Linked DNA regions of Anolis sagrei. The protein of the gene in region 1 interacts with the protein of each later gene in a pairwise test. Links are inferred from orthologs where the notes say so. Each region holds a gene or a part of one and is shown in the gene's direction. Other genes may lie near its edges.

Region 1 (7,506 bases):
CAGAGTCACTTCTTAGTGGCAACAAGTTATTCAGTCAGCCTTCCCTAACCACAGATTGCACATCCACAGTTTCAGCCATTAATGGCTTCGAGTTACATATACTTTGATTTTGCCATTTTATACAAGCAGCCCTGTTTTATTACACTACAGTATTTTATATAATGGGACCTGGGCATCCATAGATTTTTGTCTCCATGGGGTCCACTGTACAGGTGTGGGGAAATCTCTCATTCACTTCAGAAGTGTGTTTCTTTGTGCATACTACTTACTTACTTTTACTTAGGCAATCCCTCGTTGGCCGAGTAGGATAGTCTTCCAGGATCAGAATTCTTGTGAGACTGTAGGTGGCTGTGGAGCCCTGTTCTTGATCTGCATCTTCTCTCGCAGTGAAGGCATTGGTTTCCAAGTGGAAGGCGGTCCCGGTCGGGGCTGGCTTGACGACCTTCCTCTTGGCACGTTTCTCTCTTTCACCCTCCATTCGTGCCTCTTCAAATTCTGCAGCACTGCTGGTCACAGCTGACTTCCAGCTGGAGCGCTCAAGGGCCAGGGCTTCCCAGTTCTCAGTGTCTATGCCAGAGATTTTAAGGTTGGCTTTGAGCCCATCTTTAAATCACTTTTCCTGTCCACCTTTGTGTATAATGAAGAATGCAAACTCTTAATTGGCCTTTATATGTTGAGCCTTATATTTTGGGGTATTTGTGTGTACATGTCCAAATGCTTCAAAGCCAATGCAGTTTCCATTTTGTCGCCAAAGGGCTTAAGCAGCCAAGTAGCAGCAAGGGGTCTGCCTAATCCATAACCTACTGCCAGAGCTCAGGCTAGGAGCCCAAACTGCATTAATTCTACAATATAAATGCTAATTGATGCATCAAATTAATGTGATTTTAACCCCACTTTAACTGCCATGGCTCAATTATATGAAGTCCTGGGAGTTATAGTTTTATATGGCCTTTAGTTATAGTTTTATATGGCCAAACACCCCTTTTGCCTCAGCCTTCTCCCAAAAGGAGACTGGTGTTCAACCTGACCAGTACGAAGCTGAAGAGGTAATAGGGGAAATGCAACCCAAAATAGGTAAGCAAGTAGTTTAGGAATACCTGGCTACTCTAAATGAATTCAAGTCTCCGGGGACAGATGAACTATGTCCAAGGGTATTGTAAGAACTAGCAGAAGTCATTTCAGAACCACGGGCAATAATCTTTGAGAATTCTTGGAGAACTGGAGAAATGCAGACTGGAGGAGGGCAAATATTGTCCCTATCTTCAAGAAGGGACAAAAAGAGGATTTAAACAATTACCGTCCAGTCAGCCTGACATCAATACCAGGAAAGAGTCTGGAGCAGATTATTAAGGAAGAAGCCTACAATCACTTAGAAAGGAATGCTGTAATTAATAAAAACAACAACATGGATTTCTCAAAAACCAGTCATGTCAGACTAATCTTATCTCGTTTTTCAATAGAGTTACAATCTTGGTAGATACTGGGAATGCTGTGGATGTATTATATCTTGATTTCAGTAAGGCCTTCGTCAAATTCTGCTATGAACTTCATACAAGCAAACAAATCAAATGTGGGCTAGGCAATACTACTACTAGGTGGATTTGTAATTGGTTAAGTGAGTGAACCCAAAGAGTGCTCCCCAATGGTTCCTCTTCATCCTGGAAAGAAGTGACTAGTGGAGTGCCGTAGGGTACGGTCCTGGGCCCAGTACTGTTCAATATAGTCATTAATGACTTGGATGAAGGTTTAGAGGGCGTGCTTATCAAGTTTGCAGATGACAACAAATTAGGAGGGATAGCTAATACTCCAGAGGACACGATCAGAATTCAAAATGACTTTAACAGATTAGAGAGAAGGGTCAAAACTAACAAAATGAATTTCAACAAGGACAAATGTAAGATACTACACTTGGGCAGAAAAAAATGAAATGCAACAATACAAAATGTGAGAAAGATCTTGGAGTCTTCATAGACAACAAGTTGGACATGAGCCAACAGTGTAATCAGCATCTTAAAAAGCCAATGGGATTCTGGGCTGCATCAACAGGAGTTTAGTGTCTAGACTGAGGGAAGTCACTGTGCCTTTGTATTCAGCTTTAGTCAGACCTCATCTGGAAGACTCTGTCCAATGCTGGACACCACAGTTCAAAAGAGAAGCTGGAAGGTGTCCAGAGGAGGGCGACTAAAACTAAAGGCCTAGAGACCATGAATCCTTAAAGAACTGGGTATGTTTAGCCTGCAGAAGAGAAGATTGAGAGGAGACACAATGGCCATGTATAAATATGTAAAAGGTTGTCATTTTTATAATGTTTTATTGTTCTGGTTATTGTTAAATGTTTTTAATTGTGTTACCTTGTAATCTTTGTCTATGCTGGGCTTGGTCCCCATGTAAGCTGCCCTGAGTCCCTTCGGGGAGATGGTGGCAGGATATAAGAATAAAAATATTATTATTTGATACATAACAAGATAAGTACACAGCAAACAAGTTCACTATGCTGGCCTTTATATTTGATCACATGCCAGACACTTCCCAAATGTCTAGGACTGTGTGATGTAACGGCGAATAATGCATGCCAATCTGAGTAGGGTGGCCTTTTGCAGCTGACAGAAGGTAATTTTGTCAGCGCAGATTGTTTTTTAATGCAGGCCAAGGTCTTTAGGCACTGCACCCAGTGTACTGATCACCACTGAGACCACCTTTACTGGCTTGTGCCAGAGTCTTTGCAGTTTTATCTTTTAATCCTCTAATAATAATAATAATAATAATAATACAAGAAAGAGGGAGTAGGTAATAATAATAATACTTTTACTTTACTTAGGTGATCCCTCGTAGTCCGAGGATGATGGTCCTCCAAGAGTGGTATCCTGGGGATAATAATAATAATAATAATAATAATAATAAATATTATTATTACAAGGAAGAGGGAGCAGGCTTGTTTTCTGCTGCCCTGGAAACCAGTATGTGGAGCAACTGGTTTATATGACAGGAGAGAAGATCCCACCTGAACATTAGGAAGAACTTCCTGAGCGTAAGAGCTGTTCAGCAGTGGAACTCTGTGCCCCGGAGTGTGGTGGAGGCTTCATCCTTGGAGGTTTTTTAAATAGAGGCTGGGTGGCTATCTGTCGGGGGTGCTTTGAATGCAATTGGGGATTGGACTGGATGGCCCACGAGGTCTCTTCCAACTCTATGATTCTATGAAACTTGAAAAACATCATATGCCAGGACCACTGTGAATGGTGTGGGGAGGCTGGCTGGCCACCTGTCGGGGCTGCTTTGACTGTGCTGTCCCTGCGAGGGCGACTGGGGTTGGGGCTGGGCGGCCCCTGCACGCGGCGCTTGCCCAACTCTATGATTCCCGGAGCGAGTCTTTACATCCATCCATCCCTACCTCTATCCATCCCTCCCCTGGGCGGCTGCACCGACTGGCTTCATGAATGGAGGCACGTGACCCAAACATCACGTGACGCGTCCGTGAGCAGCGGTGGCGGCGGCGGGCCCCGGACTCTCGGTCCCTCTGAGCGGCGTGGCGGCCTCCCCGTCCCCGCCCCGGCCCGGCCCTCCCCTTCCCCGGCGGCACCGAGCGAGCGAGCGGAGGGTGAGCGAGGGAGAGAGAGAGGCCGGGGCCCCCTCCCCTCCTCCCGGCCTTTGAAGGGAAAGACGGAGGGAGCCTGCCTGCCTGCCTGCGTGTGTGTGTGTGTGTGTGTGCGTGGAGGAAGAAAGAGGCAGCGGGGCAGGAGAGGCCGCGCGCGCGGTGTGTGCCCTGTGCGCGCGTGCTGGGGAGGGGGCTCCTTCCCTCCTTCGCCATGTAGTCTTGCGTGGAGTTTCCCTCCTGGGTCCGTGTGCTTCCGGGAAGGCCACCCTTGCATCCCCCCCCCCCCACCTTTTCCTTTCCCTTTCCCGCGGGTTTCCAGGTGTGGGCCCAGGTGAGCGGGAGGCGGCCTCTCCTTCCTCCTCCTGCTCCTGCTGCTGCTGCTGCTGCGCCTCGCCTTGTCTCTGACAGGTGGGTGGGCTTCCCTTGTCTCCCCCTCCCTCTGCCTCTGCCTTTCTTTCCTTTTCCTCGCGGCGTGGGAGAAGCCTGCCCTGGTTTGTTTTCTCCCCCTCCAGCTTCTCCTTGCTAGAAATGCTCCCCCGTTTCCTCCCGGATCTCTTTTGTTGTTGAGTTGCGGCGGGGAGGAAAAAGTAGTTGACCCTCCCCTTCCCCAGCCAGTCCTTGGGTGATCGTTGTTGTTGTTATTATTCGAGAGTGTGTGCCCGCTCCTTCCCTTCCTTTCCTTGGGGCAGAGGAGGGGAGAGGCTGCCTGCAGGCTGGCCGTCTCCTCCTTCTCCCTCTCTCCCTCTCCCTCTCCCTTGTGCAGCCATGTCTGGCAGAGTGGAAGGGCTTGTGGTGCTGACTCATCAGGTGTCTGTGGGGGGGGGGGGAGGCAGGGGGAGCAGCCTGTGCCTGTGAGTGAGGATTTGAGGGGAGGGCATGAGGATCAAGGGGAGGGGGCTCTCTCACCCCCTTGCACCACCTCCCGCCTTTGAGCCTTGCTGGGTGACATTGCTGACTCATCAACATGAGGTCACCACTAGGTAAATGCTGCATATACACATACACAAAAAGGAAGGGGGTCTGGCTGTAGTTTGGGGGAGGGGGCTGCCATAGGTCAGCTGCAGAAGAGACCTGACCTGCTGATTCATCTCCTGGCAGAGAAGAGTGCCAAGTTTGGGTGGGAAAAGGGGAGCACCTGAGATTCCCTTTCCCCCCCCTTTGCTTTGGCTGCATTGAGTGTGTTGGGAGAAGCGCAGCCTGGCAGGACAGAAGGGTGCCCATGACGATGACCAAGCGGAGAAGGGGTATTTGGCAGAACTTTTGGCAAGAGATCCTTTTCTGAAAACTTGTGGGTGCTTAAGGTGGGTCAGGCACACATTGGGTTGTTTTTGACAGCAGCCTATCCTCCGCTGTCTTTTTTACTGGGAACAGAGACTCTGAGCCTTTCCCAAGGAGTGGGAATCATGCCTTTTTATGTCTCTGTCCGTACGGTAGTTACTCCTGTCTTGTATCATTCTGTTGATGTTGTCAAATGCTGTCGCTAACATAGTCATTCTGTGCTGCCATCTGTAGCAGACATTATTGTTTTATATACTTTCACCTGGACAGTTTTACGGGCCATTTTGGGCCAGGCAGTTTACATGTTGCCCTAAGCACCTCGTCTCCATGGTTCTTCTGTTTTTATTGGCTTTGGTCCTGAAGAAAAAGGACAGCTTTATGGGAAGGACTACTTCTGTCTCTGCTGTTAGACAAGGGCCCTGTGAAAGAGGTTGGTATTGTGTCACACTGAAATGGCAGGGAGGGCTTTCATCTAGAGATTTGTAGGATGGAGCACATCTGTGCAACAAGTGCATGTTGTCCTCTACTGAGGGACCTTCCACAGAGCCATATAACACAGAGTATCAAGGCAGACACCCCCCAATATCTGCTTGGAACGGGTTTATCTGAGGGACCTTCCACACAGCCAAGTAACCCAGAATAGCAAGGTAGAAAATCCCAATATCTGCTCTGAATTGGGTCATCCAAGTCCATCCTGCCATATATTCCAGCTCAAAGCAGATAATGTGGAATTTTATTCAGCTGTGTGGAAGGGACCTGCATCCCTAGTGGGACATTTCCCATAGCAAACCTGGCTGGAGCCTGTCATCGTCACCTGCAGCCACGACTCCGGAGGGCAGCCTGTCCTCTGCCAGTTGGTGGGTGGACAGAATGGTCAGTGTCTATCTTGTGCTCCAGATGTGTTTGCATGGGATGTTTTCTGGTAAAAGCAGCTAGCCATCTTGGTTTAATATGCTTCTGACCCAGGCATGGGCAAACTTCGGCTCTCCAGGTGTTTTGGACTTCAACTCCCAGAAATCCCAGCCAACTTACCGGCTGTCATGAATTGTGGGAGTTGAAGTCCAACACATCTGGAAGGCCGAAGTTTGTCCATGCCTGTCCCAACCTATGGATTTAAAACAGTAAGTTAGGAGGGCTCTGGAAAGTTGCCTGATTTAGACTGCAGAGTAGGTGAAACTTGGTATTCCTATAACAGATCTGTGTCATTTGCATATCTATTCCTGTCTTGAAAATTGATTTTTAAAAAATATTATAGGGGGCATCATAAACAGGGATAAATTGAGTCAAGATAGTTAGGAGGCAGACTTGATTTAAAAACAAAACAACCTACCTACAACATTGCATTTCTTGGAGGAAGCATTGGGTAGTGTTGTACCCTTTACTGCATGTTGGGATTGTGTGGTATAGAGATCATACTGCCGGTCTTGAAGGGGTGATGTGCAAAAGTCTTCCAATTTTTGTATCTAAAATACTGCAATGTGGACAGTTTTCCCTCTGTTTAGATAAGTGAAATAACGTGAGGTATTTATATATTTTATTTATTGTGTCAGAAGCAAATTGAGAATACATTTATAATGTATAAAATGCCACAAACAAAGTTAAAAGCTTGGCATTATGCTAGATTTCCTTTGACCAGAAGCTGGCCACTTGGAGTGCCTCTGGTGTGGCTGTAAGAAGGTCCTCCATTGTGCATGTGGCAGGGCTCAGGCTGCACTGTAGTAAGTGGTCTGTGGTTTGCTCTTCTCCCCACTTGCATGTCATGGACTCTACTTTGTAGCCCAATTTCTTAAGGTTGGCTCCACATCTCGTGTTGCCATAAGGTGTTTATGACAAATGGGAAACAAAATTGATGTGTCAGGGCTTGAAGCAAGAATTCAAAGAAACAGGGAAATGAATGAAGTTCTATTTCATTTTGATTGTATGCTTAGCTTAGTGATGTTAAGTAATGAGGCTGGCATCTCAGTCTAAGGTCATGTAGGAACAACTAATTTAGGTCCCCATCCCACCAGTTCTGCTGACTAAGAGGCACGCTCACAGCAAAAGCAATGGTGAAGCACTTAGTATATAAATACACTGTACAGGGGAGTCATGTCTTCTTGGAGGGGATAAGATTTTCTGGTGACCATACAGCTCTGAAAGTCTTACTGGATATCATTGAGTTCATATTCCTTTCCCAGGTTAGAACTCTTGACAAAGGGATCACTATATTTCTGAAGGATAATTTGGAAGCTCAGTTTGATACCTTCCTTTAAATGGATGTCAGTGGCTATGTGCTTTTAAAGAAATACAGGGTTATGTTAGGGAGACTTTTTGTCCTACACCTGTTGGGAAGCCTCCCACTGTGGGCTGTCATCCAGCTCCTGGTCCCCCCTTGCTCCCGTCCTGCCGCCCTCTTTATCCCTTACAGCTGGGCCTCCGGTGATGGGCTGTCTTTACTGCTGGAATGGATGACGTCACCATGTTTACACTCGTTTGATGGCACTGCTCTGTGAACCAGGAATGTTGAGAATGGGGCCTGTGTTGAATCATGCACTCTCTGTCAGCTCTGTTGTGAGCGAAGAATTGGCGGTGCTTGTGCTGAGTGCAGGCCTTTTGAGTCCTGGCGAAATGTGTTGAGGCTGCACTTTTTTCCCCTT
Region 2 (7,358 bases), on another chromosome or scaffold:
ACTTTGTTCCTTCCAAATTTTCAAAAGTTCAGTAGTCTGGAACCAAATAAATGTTTTAGATATGATCCTATGCTTGATGTTCTGTTGTTATTGTATGCCTCCAAGTCAAAGCCAATTTACAGAGATCCTATGTTGGGTTTTCTTAACCATATTTATTCAGAGGAGGTTTACTTGCCATTTCCTTCTTCTAAGGCTGAGTGTGCGCGCAATTTGTGCTTCTGTGGCAGAGGTAAAATTCTTGGTCTTCTAGGTCCTAGTCCAGCACTCTAACAATATACTTCTGGCTTCAAGTATGTTGGATAAGGGATTCTCAAAACATATTTAGTTTAAAGGGAATAACATGTATTTTCTTCCAAAAATCTTTCACAACAGGGCATTAAAAAACAGACAACCCTACTTCTCAAAATTATCTATCAAAGCTACATTGTATTTACAAGGTAAGAAGTGACTGATTCAAACCTACTTAATTGGTGGTATTAGTTTCCTAAATCACGGCTAAGCCAATTTAACCCCTGCAGCAGGACATAACTGTTGTTGTCAATGTGTCATTTGCAATTGTGTCCCTTGCAATGATGACCAGACAGGGAGGGAAGGGAATGCCGAGGCCAGGCACTGTGTTATTTCATAGGGCAGATTGTAAAGGAAATGATCCCATACATACACATACACCGAAAATGGTGGTCCCAACTACAGTGCCAAATTATGCAGTTTGAAACCATACAGTCTCATTTGAGTAGAAAGCCTCTTTTCCCAAGAGGAAAGGATTCTGCCTATCTGGGGGTCCTTCTTCACAGCCCTATATCCCAGAATATCAAGGTAGAAAATCCCACATTATCTGAGTGTGGACTCAGATAACCCAGTTCAAAGCAGATATTGTGGGATTTTCCGCCTTGATATTCTGGGATATAGGGCTGTGTGGAAGGGCCCTGAGTTGATGCTGCCATATCATTGACTTTTTGAAAATTCCCAAATTGATTTAGAATCTTTTGACAAATAAAACAATTGTAAGCAAGGCTTTCTAAGCTCTCCTTGCTTTATAGAATAAGAATTTAGCGGCAATTTTGGATCAGTCATTGCTCCCATTGATTTCAGTGCACAGGATTTTTAGTTGTATGTGTGGAACTGATATAGTTTCACTGAGGCCCCTTCTACACTGCCATGTAAAATCCAGATTATCTGCTTTGAACTGGATTATCTGGCAGCATAACATATATAATTCGGTTCAAAGAAGATAATGTGAATTATCTGCTTTGATAGTCTGGATTATATGGCAATGTAGAAGAGGCCTTAGTCACTTAGGATTGTCTATACAAGATGCATCTTTTTCTCCATACTTCCATCATTTGTCCTATTGAAAAATAACACCATATCACACTACTTTTGCCCCTGGGTTATAAATGTCATTTCCTAATAGGTTCTATCATAAAAACATGGAAATAATTATTAAACTTCAAAAACTTTGTTTCTGTGGGACATCCTGCAGCACATTTTGCTGTTGTTTTTCAATTAATATCTTATTGAGTCTCGATCAATTCAACAGTTTGTGACAGCCACAAAAATGAAGTTTCTGGAGTATAATGACTACTTTCAAAGTAAGGACCACACAATTAAATAGGAAATAACATTTTTAAACTGTTATTGAGCAATTTAGGGCAGTTATTGAGCAATTTAAGGCAGATAATGAGATCCGGAATGCAAAAACCGAGTCCGTGCCTGGCGAGGCTTAAAGCTAAAACCCAAAGCTCTCAATCAAAGAAGTCTCACCTCTTGAAGCAGAAGCCACTGAGGTACGTTATTTGACCCGGTCAGAAAGGATGACAGCCAGTGGTAAACCGCTCCAAGAAGCTGACCTGCTTTGCAAGCACAAAACATGCATTTTTATATAGTGCAGTCTTTTGTTTTTCATGCACCCATCCAGCAGGGGCGGGCTTTGCACTGACTGGAGGAGCCAGCCTTGACGTCACAAACAGCTGGGGGGGGGGGGTTCCCTTCCATGTGGAGAGGCAGCCAATTAGAGAGTGTTCCCCACTTCCAATGCAGATTCCTGCTGTCCAATGGCTGACAGGGGGCTGAGTGAGCAGTGGAACAAAAGGAGTTATAGTTTTATGTATGGATTACTATGTCTTGAGACAAACAAAGAGGGACCCTCGAGTCCCATGGGTTTGATTGTCCCTATAATGGTCCTATGAGTCCTCAACGAATAAGGCTTGACATCAATATCCTGGCTTGACATCAATATCAGAACAGAACAGTTTTGAAATTTTGCTACATAGTTCATTGTCATCTGGAGTTTCATGTAGCCATGCAGTCTGTGAATGTATCCCCATGGACAGACAGCTCATATAGTGTATTTTTTACATTGTTGTTATAGTAATTCTAGACTAGGAAGTTTAGTAAAAACTAAAACACTCGTTGCCGTGGTGCGATTCATGCTTTTTTCATATTATTCTCCTCTAGGCATTTGGTTTGAATCAGTGATTGATTAGTTATCATTACCTCGCTGAGCTACGGTGGTGTAATGGGTTAAACCCTTGTGTCGGCTGGACTGCTGACCTGAAGGTTGCCAGTCCGAATCTGTGAAATGAGGTGAGCTCCTGTCTGTCAGCTCTAGCTTGTGGGGATATGAGAGAAGCTCCCAGCAAGATAGTAACATATTTGGGCATCCCTTGGACAACATCTCTGTAGACGGTCAATTCTCTCACACCAGAAGGGACTTGCACTATGTTCTCAAGTCGCTACTGATTTTTTTTAAAACCTAATTTGCAATTTGCAAACCTTTCTTTAAAAAATAACATATTTTAGTGGATAGCAATGGGGCTGTTATGGGATGCCTCCTCTCCCTTTAAAGGACTTGATGCGATCCACGGCCTCACCATTACTACACTGCTGCAAAGAGAGCGAGTGGTTTCATGAAACCCTCTTATTGTGCTGAGGCTTATTAAATATGGTTTTCTGTGGGCGAACAGATGGCGACTACTGGATGGTATATGTCCTGCATCGGAAACTAGAGCTGATGTGGCCTATTCAATACAATTCGCTGCCAGAACAAAAATATGGTCCGCAGCCTTACCATTAATACACCGTTGCCTCAAAACCACATGGCAACAAGAGCAACTGGTCTTACGAAACCCTCATATAGTGCCAAGGCAATGGGGATGTGAGGAGGGGAGAGGCTGACTACCCACAAAAGATTACTACCACATCAGCTGTACATTATTAAATATATTTTTCTGCGTGTGAGCAGATGGCAACTACTGGATGGCATATGTTCTGTATCAGAAACTAGAGCTAATGTGGTCAATCCAATGCAATTTTCTGGATCGGCACCCCAAACAATTGACCAAAAACTGATTCGTAACTTACTTGTTGGGAGGAGAGCAATGACCAATCTGGATAAAATAGTGAAGAGTAGAGACATCACACTGGCAATGAAGATCTGCATAGTTAAAGCAATGGTATTCCCCATAGTCACCTATGGATGTAAGGGCTGGACCATAGGGAAGGCTGAGTGAAGGAAGAGAGATGCTTTTGAACTGTGGTGCTGGGGGAAAGTTTTGAGAGTGCCTTGGACCGCCAGAACATCCAACCAGTCCATACTCCAGGAAATACAGCCTGACTGTTCACTGGAGGGAAGGATAGTAGAGGAAAAGTACTTTGGCCACATGATGAGAAGACAGGAAAGCTTAGAGAAGACAATGATGCTTGGAAAAATGGAAGGAAAAGAAAGAAGGGCCAACCAAGGGTAAGATGGATGGATGGGATCCTTGAAATGACTGGACTGACCTTGAAGGAGCTGGGGGTGGCCACGGCTGACAGGGAGCTCTGGCGTGGGCTGGTCCATGAGGTCAGGAAGAGTCGGAAGAGACTGAACGAATGAACAACAAACCCATTTGGTACTAATGTTTGAGAGTGGTCCCTGGTAAAAAAAAAGGTTGGGAACCACTGCTTTAGAACTTTCCAGGCGGGAGGGCAACAAGACTACAATCCCCAGTATACCACGCGAACGAAATAAGAAGCAGAAGTTGGATGGGAGAGAGAGAGAGAGAGAGAGAGAGAGAGAGAAGGAGAAGCGCGGGAGGCAGCGTGGAATTGCGAGAGAGCGCCTTCTTCTTCTGCGCATGCGTCAGAAAAGCCCCCTTCGGCGGCGGTGACGGCGGCAACGTCAGCGTAGGAGGAGCCGCGATTCTGAGAGGCGTGGGCGCTACGCCGTTTGCGCAGCGTGGTTGTGAATGTGAATGGGTGGGAGTATCGCCGTCGAGAGAGAGAGAGAGAGAACGCGCGCGAGAGGAGAGAGAGAGAGAGGCTGCCCTCTTCTTCTTCTTCTTCTTCTGCTACGTCCGTACGTAAGGCAGGCGCGCGCCTGTGTTTGTGTGAGCGAGAGTGAGTGTGCGCGCGCGCGGTTGTGGCGGCGGCGGCGGGAGGAGGATGATGTCAGCCTTCGAATGTCAACAATGTAGCGATTGAAGGGAGTAGGCGGCGTTCCATTGGGAAGAAGGAGAAGGAGAAGGAGGAGGAGGAGGAGGAGGAGGAGAGCGCGAGCCACGGAGACCGGGAAGGAAGGAAGGAAGGAAGGAAAGAAGGAAGGAGGGAAGCGCGAGGCAGGCAAAGCAGCAGCAGCAGCAACAACAAGAACAGCCTTTGCCTTGTGCAGCAGACAAGCCCCTTTTCCCCGCGTAGCAAGCAAGCAACCAGCGGGTGGCTTCTTTTCATCACCCCCCTCCCTCCCCTTCCTCTCTTTTTTCTATCTATTTCTGCTGCTGCTTCCATCTCCTCTTCCTTTTCCCCGCGCCCTCCTTATTTGAGAATATATATATATATTTCTCAAACTGTCCCTTTTTTCCACCTCTTTTTAAGTCTTGGCTTCGTGGACACAGCTTCTGCAATTTTTTTTTTATTTTTGGCCATTTTTTAAAAAAAAAATCTTTTAAAAATATTTGTGACGCGCGTCTTCTTCAGATGCAAATTTATTTTTCATTTCCCGACCTCAGCAACAACAAACCACCACCAGGAGCCTCGTTTTCCCCTCCCCTCTCTTTGGAAAGTTGCAAGGAAGGAAAGAAGGAAGGAAGGAAAGGTGAGCCTCTTCTCCTTTCCTACTTTTGAATGGAAGTTGGAAGAAAGGTTTGGGGAAACAATTGCTATTCAGAACGTTCTTATTATTGGGATGCTGTGAGTTTTTCAGGCTGTATGGCCATGTTCCAGAAGCATTCTCTCCTGACGTTTCGCCTGCATCTTTGGCAGGCATTCACAGACGTTGTGAGGTCTGTTGGAAACTAGGAAAATTGGGTTTAAATATTTGTGAAAGGTCCAGGGTGTCAGAGGCAAGTGTGAATGTTGCAATTGGCAACCTTGAATAGCATTGAATGGCCTTGCAGCTTCAAAGCCTGGCTGTTTCCTGTCTGGGGGAATCCTTTGTTGGGAGGTGATAACTGGGCCTGATTGTCTGCTTGGGGCAAGTGTGAATGTTGCAATTGGCAACTTTGATTAGCATTGAATGGCCTTGCAGCTTCAAAGCCTGGCTACTTTCTGTCTGGGGGAATCCTTTGTTGGGAGGTGATAACTGGCTCGAATTGTTTCAGTGTTTTAAGGTGGCCAATTGCAACATCCACACCTACCTTCAACAGACAAGAGTTCTTTCTCCCATCATGGACACTCTACAGATATGTAAACCCCATTTTCCTAGTTTCCAACAACCCACAACCTCTGAGGATGCCTGCCATAGATGCAGGTGAAACGTCAGGAGAGAATGCTTCTAGAACATGGCCTGGAAAACTTACAGCAACCCAGTGATTCCAGTCATGAAAGCCTTTGACAATGCATTGAACATCTCTACAGAAAGAAACTGTTGTTGTTATTATTGTTGTTGTTATCATCATCATCATCATCACTACTGCTACTATTGATAATGTTTTGCCTGTGTGTCAAAGGAGGGGAGTGGGAGGAAGTCTCTAGGTGGGCTGCTTGGACTGAGATTGTTGTGAGAATATATATATATTTCTTTGGTTGGTATTTGGGGGAGGAGCGAAAAAGGGGTGTGTGAGAGTGAGTGAGTGTGTCTTTCTGTGGAGTGGGTCCTTTTTAATTGCATTAAAGCTTCCGTCCCAACCGCACACACTAAAAGGGGACAAGGATAGCTGGAGAAGGAGGGACAGAGTAAGGCTATCACTGGAGGGGTGTGGGGGTGGGCAATAGCTTTGGGATTTGGGTTGTCTCCTTCTCATTTAACCACTTGGGAGAAATTTGAAGAAGAATTAAAAACAGAGATGGAAGGATTAACCGCAGGTTAAAAATACCCCCGACCTTTTCACACCTCTGTTTCTTTTTGTCTTCACCCCCCCCCCATTTTGTACCTTTGGTTCAGTCCAGTTTCCCCCTCTGTTTGGCCATAGAATCTTGAGTCCTCCCTTGGAAGGAAGGGGCAGGAAAGGCTTAGGTGAGCTCAAGACAAGTTCAGAGACAGAGAGAAAGAAAGAGGAAAGTATGGCCCCTTCCAGACCGCTGTATAAAATCCCACATTGAGCTGGACTATATGGCAGTGTGGACTAAGGGCCCTTCCACACAGCCATATAACCCAGAATATCAAGGGAGAAAATCCCACAGTATCTGCTTTGAACTGGGTTATCTGAGTCCACAATGCTATATATCCCATTTCAAACCAGATCATGTGGGATTTTATTCAGCTGTGTGGAAGGGGCCTCAGATACCCCACTTCAAAGCAGATATTCTGCCTTGATATTCTGGGTTATATGGCTGTATGGAAGGGCACTTTATGGGCAGGGCAGGAAATGCTACCATTTATTTTCTTTTTATATTGTATTATATTAATGTATATTTTATTATTACCTCAATATAATGTGATTTATTATTTTATTGTTTTATTATCTATTGTATCTGGCACCAAGTAGTGTCAGAACAATAGTAAAGGTAATATTTTATTATTTTATATTTCTTTCTGTTGCAGCTAGTAGTGTACTAATCGTACTTACTTAGGCGATCCCTCGTTGTTCAGGTAGGATAGTCTTCCAGGGTAATAATAATAATCGTAATAGAAATACTAAATGTCTTCGATTCTAAGAGGCCATCGGTTATAAGATTCATGCTCATTTCAATACCACCAAGAGAAAAAAGATATATGTATATATACACATACACACATATACACACACACAAATCTACCCACACTAGAGGGCTTGCAAGGGGCCGTGGTGGTGCAGCAGGTTAAACCCATGAGCTGTGGAACTTACTGACTGAAAGGTCGGTGGTTCAAATCCACAGTGGGGTGAGCTCCCGGTTTTAGTCCCAGCTTTTGCCAACCTAGCAGTTCAAATGTGAGCAGATCAATAGGTACCACTCCAGTG

Evidence for each region.
Region 2: the proteins of MAFG (region 1) and BACH2 interact in binary tests that used the Homo sapiens proteins (3 or more experiments, as listed by UniProt). The link is inferred for Anolis sagrei from reciprocal best matches to the Homo sapiens genes MAFG and BACH2.

What each region holds. Positions count from the first base shown.
Region 1 is NC_090022.1:113,769,866-113,777,371, reverse strand, and holds the start of MAFG (transcription factor MafG), read left to right. Parts: upstream 1-4,487; 5' UTR 4,488-4,556; coding exon 4,557-4,572; intron 4,573-7,506. UniProt on the Homo sapiens protein: Since they lack a putative transactivation domain, the small Mafs behave as transcriptional repressors when they dimerize among themselves.
Region 2 is NC_090021.1:104,356,364-104,363,721, forward strand, and holds the start of BACH2 (transcription regulator protein BACH2), read left to right. Parts: upstream 1-4,346; 5' UTR 4,347-5,074; intron 5,075-7,358. UniProt on the Homo sapiens protein: Transcriptional regulator that acts as a repressor or activator. Binds to Maf recognition elements (MARE). Plays an important role in coordinating transcription activation and repression by MAFK.